Daphnia pulex: one gene and its partners. The protein of the gene in region 2 purifies or fractionates together with the protein of the main gene of each other region. This does not show direct contact. Links are inferred from orthologs where the notes say so. Each region holds a gene or a part of one and is shown on either strand. Other genes may lie near its edges.

Evidence for each region.
Region 1: the proteins of mitochondrial intermembrane space import and assembly protein 40-B-like (region 2) and FAD-linked sulfhydryl oxidase ALR-like purify together in Homo sapiens (co-immunoprecipitation; 3 studies listed by BioGRID and IntAct, with this or other methods). This does not show direct contact. The link is inferred for Daphnia pulex from reciprocal best matches to the Homo sapiens genes CHCHD4 and GFER.
Region 3: the proteins of mitochondrial intermembrane space import and assembly protein 40-B-like (region 2) and cytochrome c oxidase assembly factor 7 homolog purify together in Homo sapiens (co-immunoprecipitation; 3 studies listed by BioGRID and IntAct, with this or other methods). This does not show direct contact. The link is inferred for Daphnia pulex from reciprocal best matches to the Homo sapiens genes CHCHD4 and COA7.

Annotation. Positions count from the first base shown.
Region 1 is NC_060026.1:4,967,129-4,977,142, reverse strand, and holds FAD-linked sulfhydryl oxidase ALR-like, read right to left. Parts: upstream 5,309-10,014; 5' UTR 5,281-5,308; coding exon 5,140-5,280; intron 4,975-5,139; coding exon 4,721-4,974; intron 4,663-4,720; coding exon 4,500-4,662; 3' UTR 4,428-4,499; downstream 1-4,427. Other genes in the region: E3 SUMO-protein ligase NSE2-like, read right to left, coding at 2,534-2,932, 3,015-3,193, 3,258-3,369.
Region 2 is NC_060023.1:8,612,452-8,623,055, forward strand, and holds mitochondrial intermembrane space import and assembly protein 40-B-like, read right to left. Parts: upstream 3,098-10,604; 5' UTR 2,936-3,097; coding exon 2,914-2,935; intron 2,211-2,913; coding exon 2,015-2,210; intron 1,951-2,014; coding exon 1,755-1,950; 3' UTR 1,670-1,754; downstream 1-1,669. Other genes in the region: uncharacterized protein LOC124197866, read left to right, coding at 12-74, 170-250, 350-499, 579-1,021, 1,077-1,197, 1,269-1,373; actin, clone 403, read left to right, coding at 5,061-5,195, 5,431-5,661, 5,730-5,868, 5,945-6,052, 6,116-6,633.
Region 3 is NC_060019.1:6,007,916-6,018,069, reverse strand, and holds cytochrome c oxidase assembly factor 7 homolog, read right to left. Parts: upstream 4,665-10,154; 5' UTR 4,519-4,664; intron 4,458-4,518; 5' UTR 4,435-4,457; coding exon 4,335-4,434; intron 4,269-4,334; coding exon 3,679-4,268; 3' UTR 3,519-3,678; downstream 1-3,518. Other genes in the region: cytochrome c oxidase assembly factor 7 homolog, read right to left, coding at 4,779-5,368, 7,061-7,160; uncharacterized protein LOC124191332, read left to right, coding at 9,036-9,641. UniProt on the Homo sapiens protein: Required for assembly of mitochondrial respiratory chain complex I and complex IV.

The DNA of each region.
Region 1 (10,014 bases), on a different chromosome or scaffold from region 2:
GACATATTTTCACATGGAATGGTTGGTCACTTATGAGTCAGTTGAGAAAGGGAAAGTTTTTTTAGCATATTTGTTTACCGCTTTCTTTTACTCCAGTTGTTTTTAGTTACCATCAGTCAATTCCCGTAAAAGACGGGAGTTTCTCTAACACGATGAGCTTACAACATTAGTTCTTCCATGTAAACCTTGCAGCAAATAATTAACTTAGCAATGTTAACTTTTGTTTTATGTTCTTCCTCAGTCCATAAAACTTCATTGGCGAAAATAAAATATGTATAATTGCTTTGGAAATTATATACTTATTGTTTTGTAATTTCTTTTTTTTTTTTGGGGGGGGGGGTTCTTGCATGCTTATAGTTTATGGTTATTTAACAGGATGTATTTTTGTTAAAGACTACTGCGGATTTAGTCACGGCTCGAATATTAATATTTTGTTGAGCTGTCTGATTTTTTGAACTGTTAATTCATTTAACAAGTGATTCATTTATCCGACACTCAAAGAAATCGTTTCGGGGGGTTTTGATTATTCGGAACTCGTCACTGGGGGTTCTAAAAATTAACATATAGATGGTATTCCAATCAAAAAGTAGTAGTCGAGAAAAAAGTCATGCGCAGTTTACGCCGATACGCACCATTGTGGCCGATAGGAGAACTAAAATTTGTATCACGCTTGACACTAAACGTAGGTACAATCCTTTGTTAGACAAGCGCAAGTTCCACCCCGCGCGCCGTTTTCTCTGTTAAACAGAGAAAACGCGGCCTTATGAGGGGGTGACAACCCGACTACATTCAATATGACACAAAAAATCTGAAAATGAAGAATGTTCTCTTCATTTCAGAGTTTTCCGCATCTTCCTAGCTCTACCCGTTCTGTAGTTATCCCCCCTTAAAGTACCCTAATTTGATAAAAAGCTCTACGGAGCGTTCCCAAATTTAGGGCTTGAGTCAAAAGCTACCCTTCCCTTATTAGGAAAAATCCAAAAGAAATCAGCTTCATGATAACCACAATGGCTACGGCCAAAAAAAAATTCATCGTAATCCGACGAAAATTGGATTTTTGGGAACGCCGAGAAAAACGCCTTTTTCCATAAGGTTCTCTCGCGCGTTCCCAAACTTTAGGTAGGTACTGTATCTCGGCTTTTAAGCCAAGTATTGAAAAAATATAAAAAATGTTTGAAGAGGTGGGCTATCCCATCATTTAAAAAAATTTTATTATATATATAGGTGCAGCAGTTTACGAGAAAACTGCTGCATAAAACCAAAAAAGTCAAAATTTCGGATACCCCCCCCCCCTTGATTTTTTTTTGGTAATACCTCCCAAACTACAAACGCTAGGCGATTGCGGTTTTTTCCAATCTACTTAGCGAAAAAAAATTTGCACAGGAACCATCTGTTTGTTTATTTTTATAACCCCCAGCGACGATTTCCGCGTAATGAAAAACCCCCCAAAACGGTCTCTTTGAGTGGCGGATCGCTTGTTAAAAATTGTAAATGATAATGAAAGTAAACAAAATTTTGAACACATTTTTATAATGTACATTAGGTTTTCAGTTCATTTATTTAAAGAATCAATGAATAATTGTTATAATCAGAGTATCAGTATCAGACCCGTTTTTCCCATATAAACCATTACCCATATGGACAGATCTTGTGATTGGTCTGCTAGTCACGTGTTATAGTTGACCAAAAAAAAGGTCAGCCTACAGCAAAAATGGATTCGTAAGCGGAATAAAAAAAACTTGCAGCAGCAGTTCTCCAAACCCCAAACCACCACTAGGGTGCGCACTAGTCGACGAGTCGCACGACTTTTTGCTCTGCGGTTACCTTTAGATTTAAAAATGGTCTGTACTCTGTAGCTACAAATGTTTAGTGGTATTTTCTGAAAGACTATTGTTCGACTTCGTACTGTTTTCAGGTACTTACTTAGAAAGTAAGTTTAAATAATGTTCATTTTAAAAAAAAATATTACAATTTTTTGGGAACCCCCGAAAAAAACCTATTAGTTTACTATAGTCATGGGTATGGAGAGATGGTTGCCAATGACCATGTTAAATTTCCCAAAAGGGGTCGTTCGCTCATTTTACTAAAAGGTCTCTTTGTATGTCCATATGTCGCAACAGCCTAGATGGCGTTGATTCAAAGAGACCTCCCTATGCCTCCACACAAAAGTCGCTAGTAAATAAGTAGCTTCCCGTCGAATCCCCTTATGGGAAATTTAACATGGTCATTGGCAACCATCTCTCCACACCCCTGCTTCACTTGATCAGATCTGAGAATATTATTTCTTTACAATCCTCATTATGAAGAACTAATTAAACCTTTGATTGAACAATATAAATATTATTTGTTTTAGACTTTGTTTCAATCTTTTATCGTCTCTGGTTCAAAATTCCTTTATTCGCTTTATGCATACAGTGGTTTTTAGAGTTATCTGTGTTAAAAAAGACTTTTTTCTTCCTCTTTTCAAAAGAGAAAGAACGACATGTACAAAGAGAAGAAATTTCGCGGAATGGATTCAAATAACCAACAAAAATTAAATGGCCGCTCTTGTTTTCAGTCGATTTATGTAACGTTTCAGTTCATCATCAGAAACGAGATGTTCAGCTCTAATAGCCACCCGATTGTTGCATCCCATCCAATAACATCGGGTTTTCGAGTTTGTTGCTATCAGTCCCATGATGATTTCCCTTTCATATGTGTGTTTACAGTTCAGGTTTTTAACAGGATCAGAAAATTCTTTCTTTGAATAAGGATCAATTGTCTGAATGGTTTCTCCAGTGACTGCCAGGTCGTCTTCATTATTCATTGCTTGGTCTTCTGCATTGTTAATTTCATCTTCACCAAAATTCTTCATAGTGATGTACAAAGGATCTTTTTCCAAAAACCCTTCATGATGTTTCTCCATTTCATTTCTCAAAGTATTTTTCAACAACTAAACAGTAGAACAGATAAAAGATTAAAACTTGTTTAAGTGTGCTTCCATAGATTAACAAGTTTAATAAGTAAAGTCTTACTTCATTGATTTCATCGAAAGCAACTGAGCTTTCTCTACCCTCTGCAATGTCTTTCTTCACTTTTTCAGTGCATAACTGAATTACTTTCTGCTTGCTTGTTTTAAGGTCTTTGTATTTTGTGTCGAGCAAGACATAGTCTTTCATTACACTTCGGAGGTCATCCAGTAATTCAGGAATTTCTATATGTAAGAATCAACTAATGAAGAAAAGTTTAAAATTGATGTGCACCAACTCAATGTATACCTTCATTTGAACAAAAATTTGGCAGCATGTCGTAAACTTGAATGACCTTTTCTTTTGCCTGTTTAATGTTTTCAGCTATGTTTGAATTAGGACCTGGAAGTCTATGATCCATTTTGGTAAAATTTTCTCTTTGAAGGGTTGTTATCAAACACTTTATGACAATCAGGTGAAGATTTTACTTTTTTCAATTATTCTTCTAGTAACTGACTTCAGCTTTAGTGAGCAAAAGGATTGAAATTTAAAAACTCAATTTTTTTTTACCTCCTCCCACTTTTTTTACCTCTGTATTTCTCCCTCTTTATTTTCTGCCATCTAACGGTCAAAATAAGAAAACATGTTTTTTTAGAAATCTCTCTGACCTTCTGCATGCAATCATGGTTGAAAAATGCTTATTCTTATTGTAATTTGTGGCGCGCCGGTCTAGATAAAATTTTCTTAATTATTAACTGTTTTTCTGTTACGAAACGTAAGGTAATTGAGGCAAATACCAACGACCTAAATACCTGGAAGGGGGCAGCGCGAGGGCAGCGCTGTTGAGCCGCCTAGTGACTGTCAGCCGAAAGTCGAAAATCTATAGTGTGGGTTAAGAAACCTAGGTTGCAGCACCTTCGCTGAATACCGAAGCAATCTCGAGCGAAGACGAAGAGTTTCCTCGTGAAAAAAACTTAAAAAAAAAACAAGTCATGGCTGCTGCTCAATCCAGTTCGAAAAGTATTTGCACATCTGACTTGAGATTTTGATTTCTAAAAAGTACGAAAATTACTAATGCAAGTATAAATCTGATCTGTTTACAGTCGTTCAGTTATTTCGACGAGGATGTATCGAGGTTCCTGATATTATGATAGGAATGTGTCTTACAATTTCGGGTAATGTTTCTAAATAATTCACACAGTTAAACCAATTTATCATTGACACAGTAGACACACATTATTTTCTACATGACATCTACATGATTATTTTCTATAAAGGGATTTGCTTAGCTAGTTATGGAGTCTATCGATCGTCGAAGATGGAAGTATCAAGACCTTTTAAAGATCATTATATAGGTAAAGTCAGGATATACAGTAGGTGTATTGTGGTATAATACTAATGCTATTATTATGTTTAAATTTACAGTTAAAAGAGATGATGATCCAGATGCAGCGAAATATATCAGATTTCATCAGAATCCAAAATATTAATTTAGTGTATTGTTGTATCATAGAGGAACACTTTTGAATGATAGAGAATACATTGTACAAGCTAATCACATGATCCATCCTTCCATCCATTTCGCCATCTCTGGTTAACTAAACTACAATCAAATTCTGGTTTCCCTAGCTTAACATTAACTTCATTGTGCATGGCACATAGCCACTGAGATAGTATAAAATTGTTCTGTGTTGCAGGTGGGTTTGCAATCAATCTATAGGAAAACAAAAATTGTAAGCAAGTTTTCTTCACAAATAAGCTGTTTCACTTACCGCTCTTTGAAATCTTCAGAACAATCAGTGCATGGATAGAATTTTGTAAACAGTGCCATGAATTGAACCATGTCCTTCTGTTGATCAACAGTAGGTGTTTCAGGATAATATGCAGCTATTGTGTGGAGAACACTCCAAGAGTTTCTGCCCAATTGTTGACGATCCAAGGGGCATTCTGGAAATGTTTTCTCTACTGTGTGTGAAGACTTTGTCAGAAAACTTGACTTTGTTTCAGCAGCAGTAGATTGAGGAATCTATTCAAAATATAAAAACATTGGAAGTTGATTAATTAGCATTTTGAGGATCTCAGTAATGTAACAGTAATAATGTTCCTTTGATGCATCCTAACAAAACTTAGAAAAGGATATGATTGGGTAAGAGCAGTAGTTAAAAAAAGAAGATAGTACATAACAGTTTACCTGACTATTCATTTTCTCCTGAACATTGGCATTTTGGTTTAAATTGGTAGTCCATGTTTTAAAATCTGAACATGCTCGACAAGGTTTTTTTATCCCTTTATTTCCGTGGGGGGAAAAATCCTCGCTTTGTTGACTCGCCATTTTCAATTCAAATCCCCAGCAGATGGAGCTGAGTTTTCTATTTTCCCGCTACTTTTCAAATCAATTGAAAGAGATACGTCTATGACAAGTTTTATGAAGCGCCAAAGTAACAAAAAAATTTACCGCTCAAATTTTTACTGCAATTCGCCATGTTTACTACTATTTCCTGGTGATATTGAATTTTTTTGTTCTCTCCGCGTCTTCGTAGTAAGGACTAAGGAGTTTGGCATTATCGACTGATTGTTGTTAACTGACAACTGATTACTGAAGTGCCCCAACGGTTCGAAATGATCAGAGAATAGGTATCAACATTGATTCGGAGCAATTTTTGGTCACGGGCCGCGGTAGATCGTGTAAGTGTGTCGACGTAAACGATCTAAACTGTACTGTATATTTCTGAAGTTTTAGTCGGCGATTGTTATCTTCAGTCGTTCTGTATGATGCAATTCTTATCTAAAATTAAGAAGAATAGGTGTTTTATTATTAGCGTACTCGAATGCACATTCCATAAAAAATAAGTAATGTATCAGATCGTTTATTTGGACCAATCTTTTGTGACATTATCATATATTGGTGTAAAAAATAGATGGCTTCCAAGGTTTATGTAGCTTTGCAGCCTACTACGTCACCAGTAAAACTTTCAGAATAAATAATTAGCTATTATTATTTAAATGCTTTATAATAATATTGTCACGGCCGGGCCTATGCGGGCTTCATGTTGCTGTGGCCGACCAGTGCTGCAGTTTCACGGAGCTGGCTCCACGATTGCACGAGCCCAGCCTCCGCCAAAGCACATGCACTGCCGTCACTACAGACCGACGACAGTGCCCAACACCAGTCAAAACGGGAGACCCACACACCAGTCAGGGCCAAACTCGTCTACCTTAAGTCTACAGGGGGTCGTCTTTAAAGTAGAGGGAACCAAGGTGACCTTATGTCATCGTCGTCAGTCGTCCCCTTATCGTAATTTCCCAGAATTGTCTCTAAGCTCGACGTCTGTACTAAACTGTACATGACATTTTCCCCTCCTTAATGGAATGATCGACCTCGATCATCCGAATCGTATACGGCGGAAGGTTAAATCTACGACGCATTAGGTATTTTTTTTTTATTCGGCGACGGTTTCGGATTGTTTCGCTCGATAACTTTCTCGCAACTCGACGTGCCGGTCACACCGCTTGTGACATAATTGTACGCAGCTCAACTATACGACTTTATTTCGGCGAGCGTTTGTTTCACTCGTACGACGACGCCCTGTACAGTTCTACGCAACTGTATAAACTTTTACGGAAATCGCAAGGACGCTCCGCAGTTCAATTCGGTCAATTCTTTTTGTTTCCGTACGGCGCACTGCTGCAGCTACAGACTTTCGCGAAATCATTGCCTTCGCTAATGAGGCCTCTCAACCATGGTTCGCGACGCGCTTGGTGGCCACCATTTCTTTCGAGCTCTGTACTCAATTCCGGGCTCTGTGTTCAGCTTTGTGCTCTGCGCCCTGCTTTGCGCTCTGCGCTCTGCACGCTTGTGCTCTGCGCTCTGCGACTTGCTCCGCGCTCTGCACTATGCTTCAACACGACCCTTACGTCAGTCCGACCACGACTTCGGTTCGGCTATTCTCGCCGCGATCTTGATCCGGCAGCTCCTTGGTTCATTTGCATCCGTTCTGGTACATTCCGGTTGTTATTGGCCGTCCCACCGCTTCACTTCAGGTATCGAACGCCATCCGTCACATCTGGCTCCATCGGCTATCATTCTACCTGAAACAGACTCAAAAACACTGGTGGTTTTTTTGTTATTAGCTTCAGCATCTTATTAGGCCTATACACAATCCCAATTCAGCCGCTAGCTTAGATGCATCTAAAATCCTTTGAAACACATAAATTCTATTCGCTCATACATCAACATCACATCGGTTCAGTCGCGCAGTTTACTTCAGCTTAAACGGACGCTTAACGCTTGTTAGACGGAATCTCCCAAAACATTTAACTCTGGAAATCCATACAAAATCGGAGGGACCATAAAAACAGGATGATTCGAAATAACTTCGCATTAGTTTTCAGCATCCCTCGACCTGGTTCGGCCTAACAGAATTCGCACATCGCCGCAGACAAAATTAAGCACGAGTGGCGTTGTTTCCTGAGCGAGCCAGAAATCGCACATCAAAACGCGCGGTCGAGCGCGCGTTGCTATCCCATGCTCCCAAACACTACACGCTTGTATACGCTCCCGTTAATGTAAAAACGTGGGTCCAACGTACGAATAACAATAGTCCGTCGTGAGAACTTGGGAATAATTGACTGATGTTCAGATCAACAACGTAATTACAGCTGAAACTAACCCTGTGATAGTCTTGAGATCAAAATTAACGGTTTCAATCGAACGCAAACATTATTTCCCAAATATTTGGCCCCGCGAATTTCTCTAGTTGCCATTTTTGCGTAACGTTAATTACAAGACCGAATATCAGCAGATTCTCAATAGCGCTTCAACAGTTCAATCTCAGAAGCTAGCATGCTGACAACTCGCGTATTTCAATGACAACGATAAAAAAAACAACTGGACATAAAAAAAAACTTATTCTTAGGCCACGGAACGCAAGCCGTTGTCCGTCAATTTCTGGGAGTCAGCTATTCCATCCAGGGCAATCCAATGCGCGTCTTCGAATCGCTGTCTCCAACGGGTCGCCCACGTCCAATCAGGATAACGAAGAGATCGTTCGAAAACTCACTTAAACGCATCTGGTCGAGCCACACGTGAAAGCATCCGCCTACCCTGCATCTCCACCAAATGTCACGGCCGGGCCTATGCGGGCTTCATGTTGCTGTGGCCGACCAGTGCTGCAGTTTCACGGAGCTGGCTCCACGATTGCACGAGCCCAGCCTCCGCCAAAGCACATGCACTGCCGTCACTACAGACCGACGACAGTGCCCAACACCAGTCAAAACGGGAGACCCACACACCAGTCAGGGCCAAACTCGTCTACCTTAAGTCTACAGGGGGTCGTCTTTAAAGTAGAGGGAACCAAGGTGACCTTATGTCATCGTCGTCAGTCGTCCCCTTATCGTAATTTCCCAGAATTGTCTCTAAGCTCGACGTCTGTACTAAACTGTACGTGACAATATTATAAAGCTAATATTATTATTAATCGCCTGTTGCTGTTTTTTTTTTTTTTAAAGAACTGGTCGTTTTTTAAAGCTGTTATTGCTCCATTCGAGTACGATTAATTAAGCGATTTGGTATCCATGTTGTTCAACGGGCTCATACTCGCGCTCGTACTTGGCCACGAGCCCACGACTCTAGCGCCGACATGGCACGAAGATGGCGCCAGCAGCATATAGCCGACGGGAGTAGCGGCAGCGGTGTAGCCGAGGGAAGCGCTATAACCAGCATATGCGAAACCAGGACTCCGGGAGCAGCGGCGTAGGGAAGTCCAGTGAAGCCGGCATAAGGCAAGTACTGGAGAGCAGCGGCAACGGCAGCCACCAAAACAGCCAAAACCATCTACAAGGAAACAAACAACAGACAAATGATTTCAATTTCAGGGTGGTTAAATGATATGCGTTGCAGAGGCGAATTGTTTGGGCTACGTACCAAGCACTTCATGCTGATTTGAGTAGAAGAGTAAGCATAAGTCTGAACTATTAGCTACATAAAACTCAATTAGACGTTTAAATTGCACGTCGCTATAGCAGCCTACGGTAATAAATTATTTACCATTGACTTGTTTACAAGGAGAGGTATAAGAAATAGATAATTGTTGAGCTTACTTGACGATCAAGTGTTGTGTCTATTCCACCTTTGAATGTTCAATTCATAAACCTTTTCGTCAGAAACGAGCGCGCGTTCCTCGCGCGTTTCCGTGCGACACAAGTTTGCCCAACGGAAATATATGTACCATAGCAGTTTGTGCCTCTTTCTTGTCACTTTTCTTTATGATGTTGGGAACTACGTATACATACGTATTTGGCACAAAAGTGGGGTTAGATAGAAAAGAAAACCAAGAAAACGACGACCAGCTAAGAAAAAAGGTCTGCTAAGTTCCAGGTGTGTGGATGAACATATAAAATTTGAAAGTAGGCTACTATGCAGTCTGAAATGAGTGAAATCTCCTGTTGGATGTTGTTGCCTCCTTCAGCTCTGCGACTTCGTTGCTATCAGTCATACGGCTCCTCACAAACCTGAACAAAAGAAAGATTGTGCTACTGCTTCGTATTCGTAATTTCAGCTGCAGTTTGCGACACTCATCGCAAGGAACGTGAATTGTTACATTTTTAAATAAGGAAAAATTATGAAGGTTAACGAGGTGAAATAATATTTATACAAATAGAAACACAAAATTAAAACATACTGGGCTTGAGTGTATGAGTTGATATGTGTCACTTGAACAAATTTAAGCGAAAAGAATTTGCTATATTTATTATCTAAGAATTAACATTTAAAGAAAAAGAGATCGTTTAAAAAAATGTATTTCTTTTCCATTGAGCTGATTTCCGTCTTTATTCCCCATATTCAATATAATCATTGTGTATCCTTGTTGTTCGACGGGCTCGGGCTTTTATTAGGCCACAACTTAAACGCCGTTCTGGTAAGACATGGGGCCAGGGACAACGTGGAAGATGGAGGGAGGCAGCGGCGAGGTAAACAACGGAGGCAGCGATGCAGCTTAAGGGAGAGTCACCATAACTACCATATAATAACTCAAAGTTATATGTGCTATGCATTGGCGGAACTCAA
Region 2 (10,604 bases):
CTTTTTCACAGGTACATCATCTGGGTCACGAGGATAATGGCCACGAGATCCACCATTCCGAACGGCATCTGAAGGTTTTTCCCCCCTTGCTGAGCTATAAATTTTATTTTAAGATTTTATTATCACGAACCAATCCATTAAACTCCGTTCGCTATTTCCTCATTTTTAGCATCTCGAGCAAGTCCACGGGCGAACGGTAGCTGGGCCAGCCGGCATTGAGCCCCATAAACCACACACTCCCGACGAAAAGGTTCTCTGAAACTGCATTATTTTTTTTAAATTGGAACTTATGGCAAAGATAATCTAATTGGAATACTTTCTCATTTTACGAACGCCGTAAAAAAAACAGGAAGTCCTTCGCCACGAACACGAGTTCCATCACGCCAACGCAAGTTTCGAAACGGAGGAAGAACACAAAGCCCATCACGATGAAAAGATGTTGAAGCATTTGGAGCTGGACCACGGCCACGGAGAGCATAACGGCATCCACCACGGCAAAGTAATTACTATACTAAAAATAGGATAAAAATATTAATGATACCATTTGCTAATCAAATCTATACTTACCTCATCTCCAGATGAATAAGGAGATTGAGCATGAAATTGACGTTCATTTCATGTTGAGGAATCACGACGGTCACGCTGCGCATCACAACGAAAATCTGCTTAAACATCTGGAAGATGACGACGGACATGGACCAGCAGCAGATCGGCCCAAGCCAGTAACGACGCCCAAACCACCCAGGGGCTCCAAGACTTATCAAGCAGTTTGCGAAATGAAGCCGAATAAGGCCCTGCAGAGGACTAAACACAACATCGTTGGCAAAGTCGCTTTCACTCAGACGACGGGTGGCCCTCTAAACGTTCACGTCAATCTAAGGGGATTGCGTACAAACGGGAAAAGTCTGCACGGATTGCACGTTCACGAGCTCGTCCCAGATGAGGATGGCAATTGCAACCAAGCTGGAGGACACTTCAACCCAACTAGCTCTGTTCACGGAGGACCAAAGTCTCGTACAAGGTATTCTTTTTGTTTCCAGGATGACACGACGTGAAATCGCCATTTTCCGCTTTAGGCACGTTGGAGATTTCGGGAACGTGGAAGCTATTGAAAACCAAGGTATTAACGCGATGTTTACCGATTCTCTCGCGACGCTGATGACTGGACCTAATTCCATTCTACACCGAACCCTTGTGGTAACTGAAACCTAAAATGGCGTATAATTTGAATAAAAACTTAAATCTGTTGTTACCTAAAAAAAATCTAGATCAAAGAGAAGGAGGATGATTTGGGACAAAATCGTGATACAGAGAGTCTAGCCAATGGCAATACTGGCCGTCGTTTGGCTTGTTGCATCATTCGAGCTGTTTGAGGAAGATTACTGAATTAAGGTGAATTACAAATTATTTCTACCTAATGGGAAACGGAGAAATTTGAGTTCACATTCGCTACTTAATTAGTGGCCTTTAATGCTTCTTCACGCCATTGCTGATCGGCATCTTGTCTCCTTCACAGCACCTTTAGGGTCGAAATATTTCTAAAAATTTTGAGTTTAAATACAAAGTTAAATGTTTAAGCGCATTTGTTCTCAAACCGAGTTTTAATTTTTTTTTTGCAACAGAGAAGCGTTTTTTCTATCCTTCTACCCAAGGAACTCTGTAGACGACGAAGAAATGACTATGTATAGAATGCTATTACATGAGATGCAGCAAATTAAAACACAATTTGTAGCTCTAAATTCCTATAATGGACATCATGTTTTTGCTTGAGCTTCAGATTTTGAATCTTCTTTTGAGGGTTCTTTGCTCTCTTCTTTGGGCACTTCGTTTTCTTCGTCCTCCTCTCCTGATGGCTTATCATCGTTCCCATATAATGTAGGATAATTGGACATGCATTCTTGCATCGCCTTAAAGGATTCAAAGCAGTCACTGCCCTTGGGTTCAGCATCGCTATAAAAACGAAATACATCATTTAGTAGGCAAATAAAAAAGCAAACTGAAAATGTGTTATCACCTATAATGGAAGCAACTGAATGCTTCTCGGAAATCAACTCCACACGGACCAGTGGCCATTCCTCCTAAACACGGGCAGTCCCAGTTAATATCACCATTTGGCAGCATAAGACCTGCTGGCTCATCTTCATCGGGGAAGGTGAGTGTGCTAGGTTTCTGCAAATCCTCGGGAGTTAGAAAGACAATTTTGTCTTTTCCTGCAGAATAATTAAAAAAATGTTTAATGCTAATGACATTTAAGGTATAAGTGAAAAACCACAAGTTCATGACAGAGAGAGACTATCAAAGTACAGCAAATCAGACACCAGGGACTGTAGTGCAGAAAATTTTATGCCAGATATAGAAGGAGTGGATAATGCCTCAGCCACTACTTCAACACAGTAGAAATTGGGGCTCAAATGAGAGCTGCTACATTTAAGCTGTGTTTACTTGGAGAAAGTGTCAGATGATTTTTAAGCTTTACAAAAAATGTTGGTTTCATTGATGGAGATTACATAACAATTTTTCACCGTTTGAAACATTGTCTAGTGTGCATATTTTTAGTGAGAAATCCAATAAAGATCAGCAAACAAACAAGCATTTTTCAAAGGAAGCATTCTTAAATTCAATGAGATTCAGGCTTGTTCAAAATATGTATAGTTCATAGTTTTTAAGCTGAGAACAGTTAGGATTGGATCGAAGTGGGGCACTGATTTAATCAATCTGAGTTTTGATTCTCCAGTTTCTTTGCTTAATAAGTACAATTTCCAAAACTCTATCAAGATTTTAAAAAATCTAATCAACAAGAACTTTTGTATCTATACATCTACTTACAAATGTCGTTACTTTAGTGAATGGTGCGATTAGTCATTCGGTTATCTGAATTACCAGAGAGAATAAATAACAAACTTTGTAACTTACCTTCTTCTTTGCAGTAAGACATTTTTCGTTTATGGCACAAATTTAATATTCGCAATGAATATTCAAGAAAATTAAAGGAAAAAACCGGAATACCGGCGAAAACTATGATATTCTCACGTGCAGAGCTGACGGCTAAAAGCGTTAAAAGTATTTTCGTCTGAAGTCACGCGATTTGAACGCCACCTGTGGACCAGAGGCTCAACTCGTATATAAACCATGTGACATTTTGCGTCGTCATTTTCCGACGGAGCCGGTTGAATACTTGAATGAAGGTGCAGCACTGAAATGCTTATCTTGATGTTTCTTGAATGATGCAATCCAATTTATTGTGGAACGGTACAACAATTGGGAACTTTTGGACTAGACGACCGAGCTTAATTGTTTGGAACAGGAATTCTTGGGAAAAATGAGGAGAAATTTAGGAGAAAATCTCAGGGTCTAACTGTGTCAGCTAAATGATTTGTGCTAGAATGAACTGAATTTTGTTTTGTCTTTCTAGCTTTTTCGCATGTACCTTCAAAAGTCGCCAACGCATAACGCATTGAAATTGTTTATTCCGTTAAGCTTAAGCCAGCTGTCATCTGTAAGGCGTCTCTAGTCGTCTGAATTGAAGCCGTTATATTTATAACACGCAATTGATGATCTCAAACTCGACGTTAATTTTCTGTTACAACAGTATGATGCAAACGCTCTAATCTTAACAGGAAAGGAATTTTGGTTTGCCTACAATCTCTTCAACGATAGTTTCATATTTGGAGCAGGATATGGTAAAAACAAAAGGTATCTATAGATGTCAAAATGTGTTGCGTTTATAAGGACACGTGTAGGCTTGTTGATAGAAGGGAGTGTAGAAAAAGCGGTCGGGTGGGGTTTATCCCTAAAGGTGGGAGTGGGACTTCCCATCCTCTTTTTCAGCGACAAATTCATGACCATATAAGGCAACGGAAAAGCAAGAACGAACGAACGGGGCAACGTAAATTCCAAGCAGAATTCACAAATACCAGACTTCGGCCCTAGGTTAACCCAAATGATGCGATCGTATCGATCGCCGTGGTTGTACGCCAGCGCCCCTAGTGTCGGCTACAGCAACCCAATGTTTAATTAGCTTTAGGTGACTGTTGACTATGAAATCAGCCTCAAATTATCTATTAATTCATTCAAAGCGATCTAGCTTGAATAGTTACCATATAAAATATCAAGTTGACTGTTATTTTAAAAATTTGCGATTTCATGTTAGGTGGCGCTTTTAGATCGAAAGTTGGGGTGGCGTCAGTTGCAGCGTTTCGGCCTTAATTTCTCGAAGCTCCCCACGCCGTAGCGACAACGTTGCAAGATCTAAAAAGGAGAAGGAAGAGGAAGGGACAGAGAAGGGCATAAAGGGAAGGCAAGCGTCTCATCGCCACGTTATTGCTTGCGGTGCCGGCTTTGGTGTAACTTTGCTTTCTCCGGTAAAGGCCGAATTTTATTTCTTTACATTTTTTAAACATTGCTCGTTTTTAGTTTAATTTAATCGATAGAAAACGTGTGCCATTGCATCTAGTTTGTCTTTTTGTGTTCGTAGAAGCGTGTCATAGTCGTTGTTGCGTCAAAATTCAAATTGTTTCTCCCCACTTTGTAACCGGCGTCTCTGTGAGTAATACGCAGCCATACGCGAATCAATAGGGGTCCACACCCCTCGAGGAAAACGGAAAAATCCGTTGGGGGAATCGCCATTTTCTCCCATTGCCCTTGTGTGAGACCGGTGTTTCCTCTGTCGAAATTGTTTCGCTGTTTCTATTCCCATAGCCTTGCTAGAGATTATTAGTCCTTGGACTTTTGACAGTTTTAATGGTTTTGTGCATTGTGGCATTATCCAAGGTGATTGTTATCTCAGATCGAGATTTAAGTACGTGGGTGCGGCGTCGCCCCTATCTTTTGACAAGCCGTCTGATAGTAGATATGATGCCATGAGCATTTCACAATGTCTGGCTTGGGCAATGACAGTTTTTGACAGATTGGATGAGTTGTCCTACTTGGCCTTTCGTAACTGATAAGAAATAGTTTAAAGTCTTCTCTTTATAGCTTTATACAGTTGAACTGTTTTGTGAAATGAATGCTCATTCTAAATTTTTCTTTTGACAGACTAACCTTAACCTCCCAGCTCCAACATGTGTGACGATGAAGTAGCAGCATTGGTCGTTGACAACGGCTCTGGCATGTGCAAAGCTGGCTTTGCTGGCGACGATGCTCCCCGCGCCGTTTTCCCATCGATCGTCGGACGCCCCCGTCATCAGGGTGTCATGGTAAGATAATTAGATAATTAGTCCATCAAAAGCCAATGGTGTAATTCAATAAATATTTTGCCGAGTAGTAGTGGGGGGGGGGGTTTATGAATATTGATCCATCACTGCTACACTGCATACTCATCTTATTTTCACTTTAAATCAATACCTCTGCAGTGGGAGGGTGTTTTTTGGGGGATTTTCAAAATCCTGAGTAGTGGGAAAATGCTCATGCTTTTCATTTTTTGGTATTTAGGTCGGCATGGGCCAAAAGGACTCGTACGTGGGAGATGAGGCTCAATCCAAGCGTGGTATCCTCACTTTGAAGTACCCAATTGAGCACGGAATCGTCACCAACTGGGATGACATGGAAAAGATCTGGCATCACACTTTCTACAACGAGTTGCGTGTCGCCCCTGAGGAACACCCCGTCCTCTTGACCGAAGCTCCTCTCAACCCCAAGGCCAACCGCGAGAAGATGACTCAGGTTTGATATTTTTTCTTGTTATTAAATCAATTAACCAAATTTACTAATAAAAAATGTTATTATTCTAGATCATGTTCGAGACCTTCAACACCCCGGCCATGTACGTCGCCATTCAGGCCGTGCTTTCCCTGTACGCTTCTGGTCGTACCACTGGTATCGTGTTGGACTCTGGTGATGGTGTTTCCCACACTGTCCCAATTTACGAAGGTAATTTTTTTTTTCCCAATTAATCACGAAACAATGGAACACGAAATTCATGGCTTATTTGTTTTTCTCATTCAAGGTTACGCTCTGCCCCATGCCATCCTACGTTTGGACTTGGCTGGACGTGACTTGACCGATTACTTGATGAAGATTTTGACTGAACGCGGTTACTCCTTCACCACCACTGGTATGTTTTTAACATTATTTTAAATGTATGCCAATTTTATTAAATTTGTATTTAAATTTTCAGCCGAGCGTGAAATCGTTCGTGACATCAAGGAGAAGCTTTGCTATGTCGCTTTGGACTTCGAACAAGAGATGGCCACTGCTGCCTCCTCTACTTCATTGGAGAAGTCTTACGAACTCCCCGACGGTCAGGTCATCACCATTGGCAATGAGCGATTCCGTTGCCCAGAGGCTCTGTTCCAGCCTTCATTCTTGGGTATGGAGTCTTGCGGTCTGCATGAGACCACCTACAACTCGATCATGAAGTGCGACGTTGACATCCGTAAGGATCTGTACGCCAACACTGTCCTTTCTGGCGGCACCACCATGTACCCCGGCATTGCTGATCGTATGCAGAAGGAGATCACTGCTCTTGCTCCATCTACCATGAAGATCAAGATCATCGCCCCACCGGAGCGCAAATACTCCGTCTGGATCGGTGGCTCCATCTTGGCTTCTCTGTCCACTTTCCAACAGATGTGGATCTCGAAGCAAGAGTATGATGAGTCAGGCCCATCCATCGTCCATCGCAAATGCTTCTAAACCCATTCGTCACCAACATCACCACAGCCGATACTTTGTAGTCACCTGGCGCAATAAGGTGGTGAAGAGGCTGATGAATGAAAGAGGGGAGAGGAGGAGGAGGAAGAAGAATCAAGATAAAAATCCACCTGGTTTCACACGTGCTGTTTTTTTTCCTTTCAGTTTAAAAGCAGTTTCTTATAATTTTGTTTCCACACAAATTTTTTTTTTCCAATCTCCAAACTCCTTTGTTTCCTTCATTTTGCGAGTAGATTATCGTGACTTGGTGTGTTTGTTAGCTGTTGACGCCTACCTACCATCATTCCGAAAAAACTTTTTTTTTTTCGTTCGATTTCCGTTTTTTTTTTGGAACAAGATAACAAAAAAATTCCTCTAGCCATTCCCGCAAACAAGAGCCAGCCTCTTTGCGCGCAAGTCACTTTGAGGTGTGCGTGTGTCTGTGTGTATTTTCCCCCCTCCCGTTTGAGAGTTGTGATAATAAAACTCTCGAAAGTTCCAATTTCTCGTGTACTTTATATTTTTATTGAAAGAAATTTTAACTCCAGGAAGTGAAAGTCGAAACCTACTGAAGAGAATGGGAAAATTAATGATGATGAAATTATAATTAGAAAGCATAGAGAGCCATCTAGGGGTCATGAGTGACACGGTGACAAATTGTGAGAAGGCCGAGTTGCACGTGGTTTGTGTCTTGAGAGGTAGTCGATTTTCCCTTTTTAGTGTCCTCAAGTTCATTCTGAAAAAGATTTCTAATCACAATGGAATCATCTCTGGGCTGTGTGTATGTGTGTGTTCCATTGAGAAAAAATGAAGCTGAGAGAGTCTAGCGACACTGACGAATAGCAGTCATAAAATGGGTTGAAGATCCTACCTGGTTTGCTTCTAACTCTTCAGTTGTTCTTTTCATCTTCTTTTTCTGCCCACCTGGAACAAATTGGCGGAGTGAAAGGGGGGATAGATCTCAGGTAAGAAAAACTAAAAAAGATAAATTTCTATGCACAGTTGTTGGGGAAAGACACACACACACACACACAATAGGTGACGTTTTCGAGGGGGAAAATAGGAAGCCAACCAACATGTTTTGGGGCTCAGTTGGCCCATTGCTTTTCAATTATCTTCTACATTCAAAGTTTAACTCTGATATGTCTATACATATCAGTGTTTTTTTCTTTTCTTTCTCTGAGTTGTACACAGTAAAGTGTGTGTGTCTGCTCTCTCCCGGGGTGGGTGGGTGTAAGGAAAACATCGGCAGATGTTGACCGTTGAATAAATATGTTTTTTTTTCTTCACTCCCCTTTTTCTAAGTCGAGAAAAAACATGGACAAAACTGCTTATTTTTTTTCTTCTTTAACCGGCTTATAGTATATAGCCCTGGGATTTTACTTGCAATGTGTTTTATTTCCCTTTTTTTCCCTAGTAGATTTGGTAATAATACACGATGTGAACGTCTATGTATTTTATATAAGAAAATAATTCATTCATTCGAATTTCAGATGTAGCAGAAGAAAGAAAAATGTTTTCCAGTCGAGTAAGTCCCGTCTGCTGCTGGCTGTGATGGGTTTATCCCCAACGGAATTTTAATTCTCAACAAGTTCCTTCTTTCCCTTTTTTTTATCTCCTTGAAAAAATTTATCGTTCTGTCTAATAGTTTATGTGGACCAAATAGGAAGATAAGATGGAACTTATCAAGATGGAAAACAAAAAAGCACTTGAACTTTTTTTTTCCTGACTCGCCGCCCACTACAGTTTCTGCTGGTATCGCTCCCGATAACACACACAATCCTCCTGGAAATCAACACCATTATAGGAACCGTCTCTCAGCACCAGCATCGTCGCAGAGATAGGAAATGTACATATTTATACACTGGGTGGGCCACCACCACCCATCTCCATCTGTATGTGAGTATATAATTTCCCAATCATCGTTTCAAAGAGCACGTTCCATACGAGATAATAATGCGGGTGATAATTAATTTGAATCATAACGGGATCACAAAATCTCTGAAATAAGATCTCAGGCGAAAGTTGGTTAGAAAAATATTTTTTTCCCCCGGCCTTGGTATTTTTCGCTGTCCAATCAGTGGAGAATTTGAAACTAGCGCAGAGTTACTTTCATTCCCATGTTAGAGTTATTCCAGAATGAGGAAAAGAAGCCAAACGTGTTATTCGTGTCAACTCGAATAGTGTGTCGCTATATTCCTTGTTCTGATTAGAGCATGTTGTAGGCCATTGCGACTCTATTGGGTATTTGGTGTAGTTTCTGATATGCAAATTTTTCAGGAGAAAGACATGAAAATGTGTGGCGAAACTTTCACGTTTTCTGAGTTTGTTTCCACCTTAAAAATGCTAATGTGTGAGAAAAAGAAGTCGAAGGAAAATTTTCATTCAATGAGAACATCATCATCTTTGGATCGTCACTAGAAGAGAAAGCGTTCGCACACCGGCAATAGCCGGTGAGAGTGAAAGCCTCCAAACTTTTTTTTATTTTTTAATATTTTTACATTAGGACAATGATATTATACTTTACAGCATGTTGCTAATGATGATGGGCTAGCTCTGGATATAGTCGGCGTATCCAATGCTTGTGTCTACCTATTGAGAATATTCGTCGGAAGTTATACAGCGTCACGGAGGTATATTCAAATTGAAAGCAGATGTTTCTCTCTTTAGATAAAAAGAAACTGCCACGGCGGATAAAGAGAAATTGTTGACCGTGTCAAGTCGCGTAGGAATAATAAAAATAATAAAAAAATACTTTTGTGATATTCTTCCCTTTCTCGTAGATGATGGGGCAATCAACACCTGGGTGCTCATCATCAACCCCCCAGCTTCTGATTAGAGAAAAGGTGTCGACGGACTAATACAACACATGGTCTATAGCAGCTCGGCTGGCGGTTGATGAGAAACTTATGGTCCGTTTTCTTTTTCAACCGACGGCCAAAAATTCTTTTCCCACGGAATGGCATGGAACGGCGGCGGCCGTTCATCATCATTTGGAGATTTGACCCACAAATAGCCGCAGCTTTCGACAATATACGACCGACCACAATCAATGAAAATGACGAGACGCAATCTCCTCGGGAAATAAAACACAACGCCAGGTAATAATAATATCTCGTTCTCTTTTTTTTTAAAGAAAAAATAGTCCCAGTGTACTACTTTTACCAACCAGCTCCAGGGATGTTGGGGAAAAATCTGCATATTTCTTTTTCCAGTCACAGGGAAAAGGTCACTCAATTTTTTCAGGGCCTAAAATTAAAGAGAAAAAAGCGGAAGTGATTAGACGCGATCCGTGGTGCAACCGCACTGACATAATTGGTGGCCGAACGGTTCTTTCAAATTTTTGTCTGCTTTCTCTTATACTATTCTTCTCTCCCCCCCGAACGGGAAACGAGAGTCGGCAGTGTTTCGTCCAGTTCAACGGAAATGCTCGTCACTCATAATGTAACACACCGGGCAGCTGTGTGTGTGTGTGTTGTTCGACACACGCGCGCCGCGGATTGTTACGGACTAGTGAACCTTTTTCCAGGAGGGACCTTTTAATATATATCTAAAATAAAATAGATATGTACAGCTGCCCTACCCGAATTCAATGGCGTCTATCTTTTTTTCCTTTTTTTTTTTAAATGTAGATTCCCACTGCGGTTGTTCGGGAGAAAAGCGAAATTGTTTTGTCATTTTTCCAGGGCCTTGAAAATGAAATCAATGCGAATTGCGTCAGAGTTTTTTAAAAGCCAATCGAGAAGAACGTAGCCCAGGGTTTTTTTTTATTTTCTTGCGAGTCATTTCGTCATTTTCGACGAAGAAATGTGCTCAGTGTCTTACGACAGCTGAATACAATTCAAAATTGAAGGATAAAAAAGAAGAACCAAACTGTGGACGGTGGTCAGTGAACTTGTTTGTCGTTCTGGAACCACCGGAAAAGTAAAAAAGTAAAATTGTGCGTTCCATCATCGAGGCAAACGGCCATTTCA
Region 3 (10,154 bases), on a different chromosome or scaffold from region 2:
AACAATTAAATCACTGGAGAAATTGGATCAATGGCTCTTGAATTCTCGTTGGATGATGAAGAATGTGTTCTTTTGCAATTTCCAAGGAAAAAAGAACTGGGAAAGTAAATTGCAGGTTTTCTCGACAAACTCTTCTTCCTTGTTTCATGAGTTGTTTTCAAGCCGTCAGATTCATTTTCAGCTGCACGTTGATCCATTTCTTTTGCCTGATTCCAGTAACCTAAAGTGAAATAATTGAAATGTAGTTATTTTAAAAATCAGATAAACACAGAGTGTCAGCAAAGGAATATAACATCATATCTTTAATGCAAATGTCACTCATGAGTGAACTTACCAAAGACTAAGCCTTCTGTATTGATACTCGGTCCAGGTATCTGGTATTACATGATCCATGATGCTATTCATCCTTTTTTGTCCCTTCAAGTGGGACGGATACTTAAGAACATCCTAAGCAATGGCCACCTCTCTGAGACTATTGAAATCAGATAAACACACAGTGTCAGCAAAAGAATATAACATCATATCTTTAATGCAAATGTCACTCATGAGTGAACTTACCAAAGACTAAGCCTTCTGTATTGATACTCGGTCCAGGTATCTGGTATTACATGATCCATGATGCTCTCCATTCTTTTTTGTCCCTTCAAGTGGGACGGATACTTGAGAACATCCTAAGCAATGGCCACCTGACTATTGAAATCAGATAAACACACAGTGTCAGCAAAGGAATATAACATCATATCGTTAATGCAAAATGTCACTCATGAGTGAACTTACCAATGACTCTAAGCCTCCTTCCTGTATTGATACTCGGTCCAGGTATCTTCTGGTATTACATGATCCATGATGCTCTCCATTCTTTTTTGTCCCTTCATGTGGGACGGATACTTGAGAACATCCTAAGCAATGGCCACCTCTCTGAGACTATTGAAATCAGATAAATACAGTGTCAGCAAAGGAATATAACATCATATCGTTAATGCAAAATGTCACTCATGAGTGAACTTACCACAGACTCTAATCCTCCTGTATTCATACTCGGTCCAGGAATCTTCTGGTATAACATGATCCATTATGCTCTTCATCCTTTTTGGTCCCTTCAAGTTGGACGGATACTTAAGAACATTCTCATCAATGGTCCACCGCTCTGAGACTATTGCAAGTTCTGTTCTGTCTTCCACAAACAATTCTGCTAATATATACTTCCATGAAATGGCGGTTTTAGTCATTCCAAGATCCTATTTGTAAATAAAATACAGTAAGTTGTCGATTGTGAACATCTCTAATGTATAGAAGTAGCGTGGCCTTTATGATAATCAACCGGCATTTGCTTAGCAAAAGTATATACTACGATACACTTAAAATTTCTTGACTGAAAACAAAATATGTTGTAATTCATTACATAAGTAACAAGTGTTCTCACCTTTTCTGTGCGAAATATTGTGAAAAAATCAATTTTTAGATGGCATTAACGAGATCAAATCCGCCATTTGTTCAAGTCTTTCTTACTAATTCCGTACAAGCTATAGTAGACAACAACGTCGCCAGATGAAAAATTTTTAATTATAAAAATTAGTTCTGCTTTTGCACCGATAATTAATGAGTTCGTTAATTTTTTTAAATTTTATATAATTTTGAAATAAGTTGTAAATGGTGATTCAAACATTGTATAAAAAATTAAGTTTTTAATTCTACGTTTCAAACATGTCAATACTGCAATTTTCTTAACTATCGATAATTGGGACTTGTCAAAATTACAGTTGCATTTTTTAATGGCGTCCGGATCAGTCCTTTTTGACACGTAAAATTAGTGCTTGGCTTTCATTACATTAAAAACTGCACTTATTACATTGCCCTGGACTTAATTGATTGTGAGATCTTTATTGTTGCAGTTAAAATAAGGTAAAAAAATTTAATCAGCACTTGTCATTCATGGAAATGATATTGATGAAATTTTTTTTAATATTTTGAACAGGTGTTTTTTATGATTATCTAAAAAGTAAACACATCATACTTCCTATAAACTAGCCATTGAGCTTTTAGTGTTCTGTAAAAAATAAACTCATCCTCAGGTACAAACAATTGGAGACAATACCTCATAGATGTAAACCTGATTTAATACTCGTGCTGTTTGCTTTTAGATTTAGAGGTTGCGAGTCCAATTGAGGCTGGATAAGTTGGCTCTTTCAGAACATTCTGTAAACTTGCGAAAGACAAGGACTGTTGGAGGTAATAATTACAATAGTTGTCTACCGTTGTTATTCAAGGTTTTCTTTAACCTTTCATTTTTTAGTAGGCATGTCAAAATTGTTTAAGAAGAGGAAAGAAAATGTCAAACCCCGTCAACTGCGCCATCGTTTTTTGCACACCTTGACAAATGCCATTGAAGAAGAAACGAACGTGAGCTGGGGGATGAATTTATGACAGAGAGCGGCTTTATGGGTGACGATGAAGAGGAAATATCCTATGATGACTCCAACAATGACAATGTAGAGTTTTTCTCCGTTCACCAAATAGAAAGGGATGATAGCCTTCGACAGAGCACTGTAAGCCACGAATCATTTTATGAAGGACTAGAATCTGAATATGATTTGGAAAGTGTCGTCAGTGATGAAGGTGTCCCTTTAGAAAGCTGTGATTCATCGACATACAACTCTTCGGACAGCGACTCAGACTATGCAACTGAGAAGAATGAAGTCAACGAGCAAGACTTCCATCACGCTGATATTGAAGAAATCCTTGTAGATGACAACGATGTCGATGGTGCTACTGAGTTACGAAACTTCTTGGCCACCTTCGTAACGAACAAAAATCTCTCCGGGAGTGCTGGGAATTATTTGTTGAAAGGATTAAAGGCTCTGAATCGAATTCAATTTTGTCTATCAAATATGTTGATTGTCTTTCTCCTACCTTACAACTATGGCCAGTAGCATTCATTTTGCATAAAATTTTTCTTGTACCAAATGTTTTTAATTGTGAAGAGGCTGAAGAAGGAGGTGAACGTTATGTGGCTTTTCCACTTCTCATGGAAAATAAAATTGAGTGAATATCAATACATAATCAATTCATAGAAGAAAAGTTGGTGTTTTTGAGTAAATTTATCATTCAGTTTTATTAAACGTAAAAAATGTCAAAATTATTATAAAACTAGCTTGTTCGTATTTGTGCGGGATTTGTGAGCAGTAAGAAAAAGTATACATTTTGGGAGTGAACTGAGAGTGATATGTTCACTCACAAAACGAGGGAAAAAATGTGTGCGGAGATTTTTGACGTGTTCGTGTTTTGTTCACTATCTGGGAGAACTCGTGCTAGCTGGGAGGTAGGCCATCATACACAATGTTTGTATTTGTCAACTACTGGTGGTATCGAGAACTGGAGTACTCTGCGGAAGTCTGAACAACAGGAGCTTGACATTTCGAGACGTATATAAAATGATAATGTGTTTCTGTTTTTGTGTACACAAGGTATTTGCATAATACCATTATTGGGCCATCGCAATTTACCAAAAAGATCGGAGACTTCATAAAAAAATTTTTTATTTCTTTTTTCTAGTTACGTTATTGATTATTTCCTCGGGTTTTTAAAAGTAATTTAATAGTAATGTTCAGGACGAGTACGAATACATTTCGTTAAACTATATTATTATTATTTTTTTACAATCAACACAAATTGAACATCTTAGGCTCCTCTTTCCATTTCAATAGGTTTAAACTGACCTCTCAGCTCTTTTTCCATTTCAAAAACCTTTTTCTTAAATTGTAATGCAATTTCAGCATTCGGCTCTACTCCATCACCTTTAGTGTACATTCTGCTAACATTGGCACAAGCATATATATTACCAAGATCACAAGCCTTTATGCTGTAATTGAAGGCAGAGGTCATGTTTTTTTCTAAAACTTCAGGTACACCAGTCAAATACATGCCACTAAGATAGTAGCAGCCATTGTGGTTCCCCTTCTCACACGACTGGTTCAGAAATCCCATTCCTTGTGGGTAATCTAGTTTAACTTTAATTTTTTCATTGTTGGCTGTACACATAAGGCCAGCATACAGACAAGAATCTGCATCTCCAAAATTGCACCCTTTCTTAAAGTAATCAAATGCTTTTGATGGGTCTGCAGGACCACCTTTACCAGTTAAAGCATAAGAAGCAAATTTATGGCAGCTGCGGCTGAATTGGTAGTCATCACATGTAGATCTGTACAATGAAGCTGCTTTGTTGAAATCTTTTTTGATGCTTTCCATGAAATCTCCCAGAAGGTGACATACTGCAACATACAAATCATTACGTCATTACTTTAAACGTGATTTTGGTCACGAATACCGGCACTTACCTTCCGGTTTCTTTTCGCTCAAACATCCAAACCTGTACTCAGTTCCTAAATTGTCCAAGTACTGTTTCACCTCTTCATCAGTTTTTAGATCCCACGCCATGACGGAAATGTAAATATTTTCTTCTGAATTAATACAAATGGAATTAAGATTTAAACTTTGTTAGAATGTTACATCATTGGTTACTTTGAAAGTTGATTTTTCGTTTTCGTCTGCAAGGCTCACAGACTCCATCTATGAAGAGATTTCCATGTTTCGTTGTAATTTGGAAGGAGATAAAAAAAAAATAATAATTTAATCTAAGAAGGCATAATTAAGAAGAAGTAGAAACAAAAGTATTTAATTAAATTTTTATTCAAAAATCACATTTCTTTTTCAAAATATTAAAAAACACAATTCAAACTAAACTCTCGAGTCTCGAGTCTCGACGTCTCAGACTCTCAGTCTCAGGCTTCCCTTTCCAGTTCAACGGGTTTAAATTGATCTTTCAGTTCCTTTCCCATAACAATGACTTTTTTCTTATATACATTTGCTAATTCAGGATTCTTCTCAACTCCATCACCTTTTTTGTACATTCTGCTTATATTTGCACAAGCATATATATTTCCAAGTTCACAAGCCTTGTTGCTGTAGTCATATGCTGTGGCCATATTTTTCTTCAAAACATCAGGAACCCCGAAAAAATATATCCCACTGATATAGTGACAGCTGTTGTGGTTTCCTTTGTCACAGGACTGATTCAGAAATCCCATTCCTTGAAGATAATCTTGTTTAATTTTAGTGTTTTCATTGTCATACATACACATAAGGCCAGCAAAAAAGCAGGAGCCTGAATCTTCCAAATGACAGCCTTTCTTAAAGTATTCAAATGCTTTCAGGTAGTCGGGTGGACTACCTTTACCAGTCAATGAATAGGTAGCATATTTATGACAGCTGTGGCTGAAACTGTAGTCATCACAAGTGGATCGATATATAATAGCGGCTTTTTTCAAATCCCTTTTGAAGCCTTCCATGAAATCTCCTAGAAGATGGCATACTGCATCAAACAAACAAACAAACCATTAAGTGTGTGAACGTGGTAACATTGGTCACGCCTATTGCACTCCGGAGTCCGGAGCGCTCTAGTGTCAAAAGTGGCTATTGCACTCCGGAGTCCGGAGTCCTCTAGCGTCAAAAGTGGCTATTGCACTCCGGAAAGGAAATATGAAGTCAAATATGAAGTCATTTATGGCGACGAATGGCAAATAACGACTGATTCTGTGTTTTTACTGGTTTTGAATTCATTAAAAATTAAATTAAGGGTAAGAAATAAATTTGCAATATATTTATAACAATCAAATATATTTGAATTTCATTAATAAACACAAATAGCCATTAGCCAGTATAAAAGATGGGACTTAGTATTGTTAACTTAGCTAGAGTCGGAGAGTCCACCATTGAATCAGTACCTTAGATTCAAATTGCAAATAAACAGGAATAAAGTAGAATGTATAAACATATCAATTCAGGGTGATGTTTCTTGATAAACATTTCAACTTCTTGCTCTATTCTCCTCGGCGTTTGAACCCAAAGCAACCCATCATCAAAGGACGAGGCGCTTCCATATTCCGCTCTTAAAGGATCTTTGATTGACGCCGCCATATGTGCCAATTCTTTCCCCTCTTAAATCAATTACTTTTTCATTGTCAGTTCATTCATGTGATGACAAAGCACCGAGTGAAACTGAACACGAAAATACCAAGTATTTTTTCGCACTCACAATTCAGTTAAAATGTCTTTTGATATTCTCACTATAATAAAGGAAACTGCATGTTAACTTAGTTATGTATTGTTTTGTTTCAAGATATGAAAGACGTGTCTAGCTGTTAGTTTATTGGAATAAGGGACACGGACATTGCATGGTTTATAGCGTGAAATCAGCTGAATCACACGTTACGTGTCAATCAGCAGAAATAGTGAGTTGCTGGTCAATGCGTTTCAAGGTCACAAAGAACCCCTCGAAGCCCCGTTCTGAGAATTCCGGCTCGACCTTCAGGCAAGTATGGGGGTGTCAGAGGGTGACTCACTATGTCGTGTGTTTATAGCGTGTTTAACAACCTGTCTAAATCCTTACTTTGAATATAATGATCTCTGTGTAATATAAACTGCAATGAAATACAGAAATACCTGATTTCCAATCCTTTTGGTGATATTGATATCGAGGCTTATGAAGAATTTTGTGTGAGTAGGAATTGTGGTAACACCTTAGCAAATAGAGCAAGAAGTTAAAAATGTTAACAAGAAATATCACCCTGAATTGATATGTTTTATAAATTCTCCTTTATTCCTGTTGCAAGACACTTAACTATATTTACAATTTGAATTTTAAGGTACTGATTCAATGTTGGACATAGTACTCTAGCTAAGTTAACAATAACTAAATATAAGTTCCATCTTACTACTATCATTATCCGACTATCTGTATTTATTAGTGAAATTCAAATATATTTGATTGTTATTTATTTTGAATTCAAATAAAAACCATTCAAATTTCAAAACACAGAAACAGAATGCCATTCGCCGCCAAATGAAAGTACTACATGTTTCCTTTCCGGAGTGCAATAGCCATTTTTGACGCTAGAGGACTCCGGACTCCGGAGTGCAATAGCCACTTTTGACACTAGAGCGCTCCGGACTCCGGAGTGCAATAGATTTTACCGGTAACATTGGTCACAAATACCGATCTCACCTTCAGGTTTCTTTTCGTTGAAACATCCAAACCTATAGTCGTTTCCCAACTTATCAGAGAATTGTTTCACCTCTTCCTCATTTTTGAAATTCCATGCCATAACAGAACTTGACGAATTTGTTTTTATTTTGGTACATGTATAATAACACAAACGTTTGCGGGCTTGCGGCTAGGGACTACTTTATTTTTCGTCTGCACTGCCAGACTGCGCGCTCCATCTGTTAAAGGACTAGCATTATTGTTAAAACGCCATCTGTGAAAGGGAAATTTCAAGTCGTGACATTTTTTAAAGATTAAAAAAAATCAAAAAATGAAATTATTCTTGGACATGTGCACTCTAGTGCTGAATTATTTATAGATCATGGAAAAATATATTAATTTTCTTTTTAAAATTCTGCTGAGAAAAGAAAATACTGCAAAGCCCACGCGTGTCTTAATTACTAATTGAAATTTCTTCCTTCGCGAACGCACGATCCGCGTCGTCACTTTTCCGCGGTAACTAGAGTCGGACGTGATTTTGCATCTTATCTGGTCCATTTTTACCCACAGGTTACGTGCTTTGTCACGCTTACAATAGTGGCGTCACAAATATTTTTAAAATGAAAAAAAAGGGAAAATGTCTTGTTGAAATGAAGCCAATCCAGTAAATACCGGCGTGCTCACGCAAACGTTGAAACTTTTTTGTAATGGACGACCAACTTGGCAACTAGAGTATGTTTATTAGGGTGTTAAGTTAAGGGTGAATAATTTTTTAAGCCGAAAAAGTGAAATCTGTAAAGTTATTTTGGGATAATAGATTTTCACGGAGATCGCTTCAATCAGAAAGCGTTATAAGACAACGAATCGGAAAAACAAAACGGAAGTTATCCATTATACACAACTGCCAACCGTGGTAAAAGAATCAAATGCATTGAGGACTTGGGAAAACCGCAAAACGGATGTTGTTGAACGGTCAGCGGCCTAGCGATTCTGCGATCTGCTCCATTGTCGTGCTACATCATAAATTCGTTTAGTGCCTCGGTTTTCCCTCTAGTGCCCCTTACCGTTCAAAACGGCAGCAATTTCTGTACGTGGCGCTGAATTACCTTTCTCAGAGCTATAGATACCTGGTCAGTTCATGGCTGTGTTGGCTTCCCTATCCCGGATTCAGGGTAAACGTAAGCCGATTTTCAGGGGGTTTTAGGGCGGAGCTTGTCAGAAGTTGTGAAGTGGAAGAATGAATCAGCGCCATCTAGTGATAAGACGTTGAATACTTTCGGCGGCCATTTTTGTGTAATATGTGAATACGGCGGCCATCATCGTGTATTACGTGAATGAAGCCTAACCATAATTTCTGTAAAAATGGTTGGCAGGTGTGCTGTTCCTGGTTGTAAAACAACATATTACAAAGGAAATCAAAAAGAAAATGATGTAACTTTGTTTGCAGTTCCTAAAACTTCATTATCAAAATGGCAAGAACTAATTCCATGTAGCAATTTGACGAGCACCTCACGTATTTGCTCCCGTCATTTTGACGAAAGTGACTTTAAATCAGGGATTTAAATTTTTAACGTGTTCCATCCTTTCCAACGTAGGCATCTTAATGCTGGAGCAATTCCCAAACATTTTCTCATAAATGGTATGTATTTCCTTTCCTGTAAAATCTTTAATGTCACACAGAAACTAAACCATTTTCATTTTAGATACAATCTAGCCGACAAGCAATGTAAAATGTTGATGGTTTTAAATGGAGAAATAACCTTAATGGTATTTTTACATATGTTTATTTTGTTTAACATCAAATAACGCTATTCTTAAATATGTATTGCAGTGGAAGCAAATGCTAGCAATGCATCAGTAAGGAAACGACCAAAAGTAGACAAACCACCTACTACGTCAAAGAGAAAAAAAGTTGACAGTACAGGTATTGATAATAGTTCTCTTTACATTTTATTTTGAAGAGCAATTGCTTTAATTTTATCTTATAGCACCCTCCATGGAAGTTACCTCTACTATTCAAGAAACAATCGACATTCACCAGGCTGCTGAAGAAGGAATTGTTGATCCACTTCCTGATTCAAGCAAAGAAAATCTTGCTGTTGTCATTGAAGATACGACAGTTGCATCGCCTTCTATGGAAGCTACCTCTACTATTCAAGAATCAATGGACATTCCCCAGGCTGCTGAAGAAGCTATTTTTGATCCACTTCCTGATGTAATGAACAAAAACGTTGCTGTTGTCATTGAAGATTCGACAGTTACATCACCTTCTATGGAAGCAAGCTCTACTAATTTCAAGTCTAATTTTGTGACATTTCAGTCACTAGTAACTTTATCAATGATACCAAAGAATTGGATATGGTCTTTTGATCAAATCAAACAAATGATTTATTGCATTTCGATGGATCAACTACCAAATGGAAATTATAATGTGAAAAGTGTACATTTTCAAAACAAACAAGAAGTAATGTATTATGTCAACGGAAAGAACATTCCATCAAGCACTACTGCTTTGTCAAACCATTTCACAACAGTTGAAAATATAACGCAATTGATAAAGGATTTCAACGATCGAAAAATTTGTTCATGCATTCCTCATTAAAGGTTCATAAATATTAACTTTTAATCTCGTCTTTCTGGTATATTGGACTCAGCTGGCGTGTTAAGATCGAAATATTGCAGAAAGAGAATAAAATTCAAAGTAACTAAGAATAAAACGTACCATGTATTTACACCACATATTTTTTTTACACAACCAAACAATAAAATGTAAAAATGTGAGGACACTTAAAAAGATAGGACACTTAGAAGTTAGATAAAACTTAGAGGTTTGACAGTTGGATACTTCTCCTTTTTATTATTGTTTACTTCTTGTAGAAAAGTAAGCTGTGATTGGCCAATGAGTTTTTCATAGACCCTTCCTGATTGGCTGGCTTCACGTAGTAGCTGACACACTCACTAGAGGCGCTCATTCATTCTTCCAAATCGGCTTACGTTTACCCTGAAACCGGGATAGGGAAGCCAACACAGCCATGAACTGACCAGGTATCTATAGCTCTGCCTTTCTAAAGTACGCTAATAATATATTTTTTTTTTTCATGTTTCACATTATACT